2 linked regions of the Drosophila melanogaster genome follow. The protein of the gene in region 1 purifies or fractionates together with the protein of each later gene. This does not show direct contact. Each region holds a gene or a part of one and is shown in the gene's direction. Other genes may lie near its edges.

The links.
Region 2: the proteins of PI31 (region 1) and Prosalpha7 purify together in Drosophila melanogaster (affinity purification with western blotting; 2 studies listed by BioGRID, with this or other methods). This does not show direct contact.

The regions. Positions count from the first base shown.
Region 1 is NT_033778.4:11,966,153-11,972,625, reverse strand, and holds PI31 (proteasome inhibitor 31 kDa), read left to right. Parts: upstream 1-2,510; 5' UTR 2,511-2,600; intron 2,601-3,775; exon of another isoform or gene 3,776-3,886; intron 3,887-3,971; exon of another isoform or gene 3,972-4,146; 5' UTR 4,147-4,174; coding exon 4,175-4,342; intron 4,343-4,394; coding exon 4,395-4,789; intron 4,790-4,846; coding exon 4,847-5,096; 3' UTR 5,097-5,283; downstream 5,284-6,473. Other genes in the region: ADD1 (ADD domain-containing protein 1), read right to left, coding at 1-901, 1,020-1,488, 1,551-1,644; exp (expansion), read right to left, coding at 6,425-6,473.
Region 2 is NT_033778.4:9,846,136-9,850,132, reverse strand, and holds Prosalpha7 (proteasome alpha7 subunit), read left to right. Parts: upstream 1-2,296; 5' UTR 2,297-2,415; coding exon 2,416-2,436; intron 2,437-2,494; coding exon 2,495-3,060; intron 3,061-3,227; coding exon 3,228-3,402; 3' UTR 3,403-3,497; downstream 3,498-3,997. Other genes in the region: CG1671 (uncharacterized protein), read right to left, coding at 1-1,923, 1,983-2,008; Orc6 (origin recognition complex subunit 6), read left to right, coding at 3,739-3,803, 3,860-3,997. UniProt on the Drosophila melanogaster protein: The proteasome is a multicatalytic proteinase complex which is characterized by its ability to cleave peptides with Arg, Phe, Tyr, Leu, and Glu adjacent to the leaving group at neutral or slightly basic pH.

The DNA.
Region 1 (6,473 bases):
TCCAACTCGCACTTGCGGAGCCCGCTGCTGTTGGTTCGTCTGCGGGTTATAGATACCCATGTTAGAACCGTACGTGCTGATATGCAGTGAAGGTCTATTAGTCGTAATTGGAGCTCGAGGTCGGATAACCACACCCGGACCCACTTGAGGAACGACCAAAGCAGGCGGTGTTGGTGGTGTTGGTACTGTTGATGCCGGCTGAATTGTCTGTGGTACCTGACGTTTTACCTGAATTAGTCTACCATTGGGCAGGCGATAGGAATCCTGTTGTGCAGCGCTATTTAAATCTACTTTGAACCCATTGATTGTGTGAAAGACTGGCCCAGTGGTTTTTACAGAGTTGGGAACCACAGTACGACGTACCACACCAGAGACCCCACCAGGGGCATTCTGGCGGTAGCGGATTCCAGATCCACTGAGAACCAAGGGAGGTGGCAGGCTACTACGTGTCGGTGGCACTGATGAAGAACCACTTACGCTTCCGTTGCTGCCGCTGTTGCTGGAACTTTGTCCCGGTTGGTAGTTCTGTTGGACGGTGACAATCCTCGGAGTGGTGATATTTGCCGCTGTCACCGTCTGACGTCCAGTAGGCTTGGGCGTCACAGAGAGCTGGCAATCCGGCTCCAGCATGCTGAGCAGATCCGGTGTGCAGACCACTTCGTTGTTGGAAGCTTTAGCGCGCTTGGATGGTGGTCCCGGAGGAATGGTTTTTGGCATGGATCCCCGTTTACTCGAGCCCGCTGAGCTGCCCTGGCTGCGTTTGGAGACATTGGACTCCAAGCTTTCCATCGAGTCGGATAAGCTGCTGGTTTTCGACTTCGCCAAGCGACAGCAATTGCTGTTATCCTTAAGCATTTGACGTCGGGCCTCCACCTCGGGAAGCTGAAGGGTTTGTAGGGCCCTGCATTACATTAAATAAGAAAAGTCAATTTAGAAAGAGATTAATCACTATGATAAGTGAATGAATGAAAAGACTTAAAGATGCCATAAGCATAGACAAGTAGGACTAAAAACCGCACCTTTTCTGCGTCTGAAGATAGTTGACCAGCGCCCAGTGTTGGGCTCGTAGTGGCCACAGGATCTTGGAGGTGCAGCTGAAGCAGTTCCAGTTCTCGTTTTGCTCGATGTCCACGATGACGCCCTTGGAGAGGTTCTTCACGATGCACGACTTGCAGAAGACGTAGGGGCAAGTGGAGCAGCAGTATACCTCGCCGCCCTGTCCGCACCAGCGGCAGTACAGCTCAGAGCCATCCTCGCCCTTGGAGAACTCGCCGCTGTTGTAAAAATCGTGGCACTTGACGCAGTGCGTCACCCGCAGTATGGGATGCATCTTGATGTTGCTCTCGGCGGCGGGTGCTGTGCCCAGGTGAAGCTTGCACACGGTGCAGTGCACCTTTCGCTGGTTCACCAGATCTACGTTGGGGTACATCTTCAGGTAGAAGCGGCGCTCCTCGTCTGAAAGCGAGGGGTGCATCTCGAACTTGGAGCCTGCGTTGCGGGTATATGCAATTTATATGCAATTTTCCACTTGGCTGATGCCCAGTACTCACTCGTGAAATCCGCATCCAATTTGGCCAGTGGCGATGGCGACGGCGTCGCTACCTTTGCCAGGCCACTTTCGCTACCCGGAGCACTGTTACTCATGACTTCTGTTCCGTATCCGGGCCTCTTGGACTAGAGCACTGCGATCCGCACCAATTTTTGTTCTAAAACGCGAAAAATTCACGATTTTCTGCTGCCGCCGCAGAAAAAAGCGGCGCGCTTATCACTTTTATGTTTGGCAACACAATAACAACAGGGCTGCAAGGGACGCGTGTTTACAATTATTTATTAGTTGGGCAAACCGGGAAAAAATATTATTGGGAGATCCTGTACTGAATGCTTCGCAGCAAGTCTCCTCGAAAATGTGTCAGATTTTTTCACCCGAGAAAGACAGCTGAATATTCCGCATCAAATTCAATATGGCTGCCCCTTCGGGTTCCAGCCGAAGTAGGCTCTACGAAGTCTATATAACAAGTTCGGACCGATACTCTAAAATTTTCTTAGGAAAACATGGCTAAAATTTTGATCAAAAAGAATATTTCTTTTTTTTTGGCATCAGAGGATCATTAAATTAGCTATAATATCACTCTAATATCACAACATTTATTGTAAATTTTTTTTAATCATTTCTATCGTTTTAAAGGCTGATAAATATATTTTATATTTTAAAGAATGTTTTCGTATTCGTTAGTCTTTGCAAGCCTTGGCAACCCTAAACTTACTAGTCATCTCTTTTACACTCATCGTCCGTCCATAAGAATCCGAACGCGTTAAGAAAGAGACAGCATATATGTGTTATTTACGAAAAACAAGAATTTTTTAAACAAATCAATATTCCAAATTGCTTTATATTTTTAACGTTTTAATTTCTCCCGCATAAGAAATATTTGAGATATCTAAAGCATTTGGCGAACTGGTTCCAGGCAATCGATATATGTGAGACCGTATAAACATATCGAGTTAACAGAATTAGTAAATCATGACTTCACATAAAATCATTAAAACAAGTTTTCAGAACGCAACAACTGATCTTCAGACAACTTTTAAAAATAAATCAAGTAAGATTTTGGAAACATAAATTCCACAATGTCAAAATATCAGTAAAAATAACTTAAAGTAACTCGAATAACTTGAACGAGGAAATCTTAATGAATAGTTGATCAAAATAATCAGTCAGAAATAGGGAATTTTATAATTGTACACATATTAGTAAGTCGTAAGGTTTCGTATTATGAACATGTAGATGTTGTACTAAGCATTTCCTATTACTATTTTAAATATATAAATATATAAATAGACATTTATATATAAGAATTTCTTTATTACAAAGTCAATTGATAGTCGCTCATCGTTTCTATGTTACAATTACTGTTTACTTTTCTTGACTTCTTCAAAATATTTAAAATATGAACATATGGATCACATTAGAAATTTAATAAATCTTTTATGTCTGGTATTTACGATATAAGCAAATTTATAACTAGCCCGAAGCAAATTCTGAATCCTTTGAAATACCTTGACAATTATGTTGCTAGTATTAAGTTAATGTTTTTATTATTTATTTATATATTTTTATTAATGTTTGTTCTACTCTCACAAAATTTTGTATATTAAAAGATTTAATATATGAAATCTGTATCGATAACTATATCGATAAATCACATTGAGATATTAGAAAATTGAAAAAGGCAATAAATTTTTTCCAGTTTTAATAAATAGTGATGGGAAACTATCGATAGTTGCGCCATTCGATATTTTCGATGTTTGGAGAGCAAATTTTCGATATAACTTTAAAATAATAAAAATATTAGCAATTTTAAATGTTTTTCTCAAATAGGTATAGTTACCTTCCAATATTCTAGAGGATCTGTATTTTCCTCTGAGTACTTCGGATTAAAAAGCATTACAAAATTTTTCAATGTCCTACGAGATGGAAGCTTATATCGCGTATCAAATGCTTTCAGTATATCGCGAAATCCATTGTCCTCCACTACTGAAAATGTGCGCATATCAGTGGCTATGTACATACTTCATGATAACTCGCCGAGTTCTGCTATCCGACGAGAACTCGAGTCGTAGCTTGGAGTCACACATTAAAACTTTTCCACATTGTGAATATTTCGCGGTCTTACCATCAGTTGATTTAACAAAAATGAACAGCACTATCGATAGCGACAAAAAACCATCGATAGTGGCTCAGAAAAGTAAATATCCGATACCTCGATAATATCGATTATCCCAGCACTAGTTCTATTTTCACAAAGATGCAGCAATATTAACAAAGTCATTTATAATTTATTATTATTTAAACAATATAGATCCTTTTAAAAAACATTGAGCTAAGGTACGTCCAAAAGATTTAAAATAAAAATTGAGAATGTGGTGGTAACTTGCTAAAAACAACTTCTCGCTCTTTCCTCATTATTTTGTTTACAAAACTTTTAAAGCAAAGGTTGTCTTGGAAATTTATTCAGTATTTATACTTTCTGTAGTGGGCTTCAGATATTGAAACTGACGTCGCTCCAAGCAAACGAAATGTAAACATATTTATATATACTAAGCATAAATTAGAACGTTCCATTCGTTCTGTTTACTCCCACCCAGATTTTGTAAAGGATTATCGGTGGCCGCAATGGAAAGTGGGTCGACTGCCAAGACGGGCGATTTCTTTTACGGTTGGGATCTGCTGTACAAGACCGTTAAGGCTGATGTCTCCAAGAAGTCAGACCTTTTGATTGCCCTCGTCCATTTTCTTTTGACCAAGCATTACAACTTCCGATGCGTTGGCGTTGGCGATGATGTGAGTATGATTATGGCCACGCATATTAGTGAAATCATCTGGAATTCCATAGAAAACCTTGCCGGAGGAGGAGGGCAGTGAGCTGCTGCCGGACAGCTGGAATGATGACGATACCAAGTACTCGCTGCGCTACGTGCACGATAAGATGCTGTATTTGCTGCTGGGCCACATCACCGAGGGCTCCCTGCTGATCAACCTGTTGGACATCAACACTAAGAAGGTATCCAACATCTGCGTAGAACCAGAGACCCTGGTACCTGAGGTCAAGGGAGGCATCACCACCATAATGCCGAGTGCCTCAGAGATTGTTGAACGCTACCGTAGGGAGCTTCTAGACCCTGTATTCACGGGAAACTCGCGCGAAGTTACCACGCAGACGACCAACTCACCACGCCCCATTGGATCGGATCCAGATCCCTTGCGCATCGGCGAGCCAAGGCGTGGCGGGTAAGAACACTTGTGGATAGTTTTTTATACACTCGTTAATCGTTTCCCCTCGTTTAGATCCTTCATTCCAAGTGCATTCGAGCCTCGCCCTTTTGGATTTCCGGACGTTGGACGCGGGGATCTCGATCCACTGGGTCGCGGTGGTCATGGTAACCTGTTCAGCTTTCCATCACGCCCAAATATGGGCCCGGGACCCGTGCCCCGCTTCGACCCGTTCAATCCCCTGAACCCGAATAGGCCGGGACAGGGTGGAATCAATCCAGATCATATGCGCCCACCAGATTGGAATCCCGATTACTACATGTAATTACCAGGAATGCCATGTATAGTGAGCAATTCAAATCTTTAGTTTAAAGCAATGAAAAAAGTTTTCATTTTAGAAGACCAAAATTAAACGGATTGTTTTAAAAGATTATTTTTATTACGTTGCATACACAATACAGAATATTACAGAATTTTACAGATATAAAATAAAAAACAGCAGCCTGTTAGACAACGCTTGTTTGAGTTTTTACTAGAAAAATTCGTAGTTAAGAACATTTATCAAGTAAATACGCAAACAGGCCAGTTGAGTTGACGGCTGCTCAAGAGAAATTTACAATATACTTAAAAGCTTAACTGAACTCGTGATGTAATGGCTATTCATTCATTTCGTACAACAGGGTAAACAAAATTGGCTCAAGTGCGTAATCTCAAAATTGCTAGGGGAAAAGCGCGAAAAATCACGGCACTAAATGTTACAATGGTTTGCGATTACTCTTGTTTTTTTTGTTGCTGCTTATGCCTAGCCTAATATTATTTTACCATAATATTTTGCTAAATTAATATAATGTAAATAATATTTCAAGCTGTGTGCAGCCGGTTGACTTAAATTAGCTCTGCACGGTAGGCGTCGTTCCCTCTCACGCCGGGATGTGCAAGTGTTGTGGTGTGTTTTGTGCCTTGGCCGCTCAAAATCCGGCTAAAATCCCGCCCAGGTGCGGTGTGAACTACGCTCAGTCCCATTCCCCGATGAACATGCGTGGCGTGGGCACGTAGCCGCGCGTTGGCAGCGGTAAATGGCGTCCGTAGATGTGATTGTAGGGTGATTCAACAAGCTCCGAATCTACAAGAAGCACAGAAATCCGTGGTTAAAAATCGGGTGCGTGTACAATTGTCGGGATAATTATGTGTGCTGGGGTGGGTGGATTCTATTGGTAGACCCAAGCGGGTACTTGGTTGTAATCTGGTGAAGGTATTATCTGTTTAATTGCATTATCTCTTTTTTGGGATATAATGTAATGTAAGTGTATTATTCCACAGATTACAACCCACTCGTTTGAACTTTGGACTACCTCTAAAATCAGTAACCCACTCCCACTTGGTGTATGTACATTTGCGTTTCGTGACTGTCCAGGCTAGAGGAGTCCAAGGTGCTATGTTAGTAAAAGTATCGTACAGTTTAGTGGTTCTGTTCACCGGGCAAGGAGGTAACCGAGATGCGTTTGTGGGTATAATATAGCATATATGTATGTACAGCCACCCATCATCCGCTCCAAGGGGATAGGGCAACAAAAAACAATAACTAATATCGATGTCTGGGCCATATAACCTCGTTTCGATTTAGAGCAAGCCCATAGAAATTCACGTGTCCGTTTAGTAGTCGAGTATTTGGATTTTCTTCAGGCTGAGGCTGCGCGGCTTG
Region 2 (3,997 bases), 2.1 Mb from region 1:
AATGCGGCCTGCCGCTTGTCCAGCGCTTCGTTTCGCGTCACCTGAGTGACATCACCGAAGCGAATCAGCTTGGAGTCCGCGCCGCCGGTGTAAAAGAACCGATTGCTCCTGGCGGATACGGCCAGCGCCCAAACCCTATCGTTGTGCTCGTCCAGGGACTGCAGACATGTGTTGGTCTTGATATTCCACAGCTTAAGAAGGCCATCCGAAGCAGCGGAGATAATGAACTTGCCGTGATCCAGGAACTCGGCTCTCAGTATGGTGCACTCCTGATCGAAACGTTTTATGCACGAAAAATTGCTGATGGACCAGATGCGGAGAGTACAGTCCGACGATGAGGTGAGCACGATCTGATCCACCGGAGAGAAGCGCACACTCCACACACCGCGGGTGTGTCCCCGCAACACTCCTTGCAGCGTGTTGGACTCCGCCAGCCACACCTTAGCCGTCTTGTCTTGCGACGCGGTAGCAATAAGCTTGTTATTCGGAGCATATGCAACGCAGTTCACCTCCTTGTCGTGGGAAAGCGCTGCGTAGCGCAGGTTGAAAGAGTACGAGTTGCGATCCTCCTTACTTCTGACGAGCTGCCATACCTTCATGCTGCCATCTTGGCTCACGGATGCAAAGCCAGTAGCTCCGTTGTGCGTCATGGCCACGCAACCGATAGTGGACGTGTGGCAGTTGGCCTGTTGAGTCAGAGCCTCAAGCGAGCAATCTTTGTCGTGCTGAAGCCTCCAAAGCCGAACGCTGCAGTCCTTTCCCACCGAAATCAGCAGATTTTGGGATGCAGCAAGGGACATTACCGTATCCGAGTGACCCACGATCAGCTTGCAATTCATGTCGTGTTCCGTGTCGTACAGCTTGAAGTGCTTGCTGTTGGTGGCAACGGCCAGGTAGCGATCGTGTTCGCCCATAAAGCACATGTCTAGGATCTCGTCGTTGTAACCCACCAAGTGTTTAATGGGTTCCAGGGTTTCAACGTCGTAGACCAAAATATTCTGCTCTGTAGTGACCAGGGCCAGCTGTTTTAGCTCGCTGCAGTGCAGCAGTCTACTAATTTGGAAATCAGATTGAGAAAGAATATCCCTGATCTTCCAAGATTTAGGGTCGACCTGTTGCAGCTTGCCCGATCCGCTCGCCACGATTATCAGTTGTCCCTCGTCTGCGTACACGACTCCCTCAAGCTCATCGTACAAGGGAAGAACCTTCAACTGCTTGCTTTCCAACTGCTCCTGCAATTGCCACACGATCATAACCTTGTCCCGGCTTACAGTCACGATTTCATTGCAGTCGGACGCGTTGCTCTTAAAGCTCAAGCCGGTGACTTGCGACAGGTGACCTCGCATCTTGTGCACAAGTGTCTTCGTCTCGTAGTTCCAGGCATAGACAGTGTTATCCGAACCTCCGGCGTAGATCTCTTTGCGCAGCACATTGGGATGAAAGACGAGGAGCCAAGCGGGACCAGGGAAATCCTTGAGGGCACCCAGACAGCTGTTGTTCGAGTAGTCCCACAGCCTCAGTGTGGCATCTGCACCGCCGCTGGTGCAGATAAGCCTGCCGCAGGGACTAAACTCAACTCGGATGACTGGTCCCTTGTGCTGCGCCTTCCACAGCTTCACCAGCTTCCCAGTGTCCAGCTGCCACAGCCTAAGCAGGCCACTTCGATGGGCAGTAACCAGATGCTCCTGTGACAGCCCGAAGCAAGTAATCGTATCCTCCTCCACATCGATATTGTCCAGCTCCGCCGGCCTCTTGTTATCCGCCGACGGGGAAGACAAGCCGTAGCTATTTAGGATTTGGGAGGTCTGCACATCCACCTGGTTTACAGCTGAGCCATTGAGGCAGTAAAGATGATGGCCATTCGGGCTCCAGGCGATGTCGCCGCCGGCGTAGAAGTTCGTGTAGCGGGCCTCCGCCGCATAGCTGGATTTTAAAATTGTTGTAGTCTTGCAATCATCAGGTAATTATTAAGTTTATGTTACCTTTTCTCGCTGATACCCGCCAGCATGATTTTCGTTGTTTATAAATACAAAAACCGCGTGCGCCGCGGATCAGAACATGAACGGAACTAGTTCGAAATGTTACTTTACAGAGCATGTAAGGGGATATTCGAAATGTATAAGTAGAAAAGAAAAGAATGATATTAACTTCAACTGTGCTAAATAAATAAAGTACCATGAATTGGTGATTTATTTTTAATCATTCGAATTTTATCTGAAAAAATCGCGATTGGTATACGATTGGTTTTTATTGACGATAGTCGTTCCGAAACTATCGAACCTCCTTGACCGATAGGCCCCTTTGTTTTGTCCACCACTAGCCAAGTAAAAGCCGTCAAATCATCGTCGCATTCGACCCAAGGAATTAAACTAATTTTTGCGTTTGAATTGTTTAAATTTTCACAAAGTCTTCGCTATGAGTACTATTGGCACTGGAGTAAGTGGTCAGCGAACTACATATCTGCAGATCCCTAACGTCACCCTCTCGCTTCCAGTACGACTTGTCGGCCTCGCAGTTTTCGCCTGATGGCCGCGTTTTCCAGATCGACTACGCCTCAAAGGCGGTGGAGAAGAGCGGCACCGTAATCGGGATTCGGGGCAAGGACGCCGTGGTGCTGGCCGTGGAGAAGATCATCACCAGTAAACTGTACGAACCAGACGCCGGCGGACGCATCTTCACCATCGAAAAGAACATCGGAATGGCGGTGGCCGGCTTGGTGGCCGATGGAAACTTTGTGGCTGACATTGCGCGTCAGGAGGCAGCCAACTACAGACAGCAATTTGAGCAGGCTATCCCGCTTAAACACCTGTGCCACCGAGTCGCCGGCTACGTTCACGCCTACACTCTGTACAGTGCCGTCCGCCCCTTCGGACTTTCCATCATTCTCGCCTCCTGGGACGAAGTAGAGGGGCCACAGCTCTACAAGATCGAGCCGTCCGGCTCCTCCTTCGGTTACTTCGCCTGCGCCAGCGGCAAGGCCAAGCAGCTGGCCAAGACTGAGATGGAGAAGCTCAAGATGGATATGAGGACCGACGAATTGGTGGAGAGCGCTGGTGAAATGTACGTTTACAGCAAAAAAAAGGGACTGTTTCAAAAATCGGGCGGGCTTTATCCTAGTTCCGAGTGGAAACTTACTTGCTCTGACAATAGGAAGCATTTTTGGGACATCTATTGCACTTAGAATCTAGGTTTTTATTCATAATTAACATATCTATCCTATGTCTTAGCATCTACAAAGTCCATGACGAGTTGAAGGACAAGGACTTCCGCTTCGAAATGGGTTTGGTGGGCAGGGTAACCGGTGGCCTACATCTCATAAATCCCTCAGAACTGACGGAGAAGGCGAGGAAAGCCGGCGATGCGGCCAACAAGGACGAAGACAGCGACAATGAGACGCACTAGTTCGTTTGTGTGCCAGTGAATCTAATTCTGGGCCTCATACATAATGTTAATTTTATATTTCCCTAAAGCGCAAAATGAATAAACAAAATCGGGTGAAATTTAAGGTTTTTATATTTTTATACTCTCATTCTTTAATAGTTATCGTTCGATATAAATATATTGGCTCGCTGGTTATCGGATCTGGTTCCTTTTGAATGTGCCTGCAGCTATTAAACCTCGATTGCTACAAAGAAAAACCTTATCGCTCACAGCTGATGCATTTCGCGCCATTTGTTGTACTTTATTTTGGTTTTAACGACGCACGACTGGAATTTCAGTCTATTGTTAATAACTACAATGACTACCTTAATAGAACAGTTAATTACGAAAATGGGCCTAAGGGAGGAGCCAAACGTGCTAGAGTAAGCGATAAATAAATAGTTTTAAAGGTTTACCCAGTAAGATCGAATCCTTTCAGGAAAACCACCGAACTAGTACGCCTCCTGGAACTGCGCTCCACGAATGTCCCTCTGCAGATCAACGAGTACGGAAAGATAGTGCTGTGTGCGGATCTCGCTTCCTGCATGATTGGGATCGCTTTCGACAAGGAGCAGGC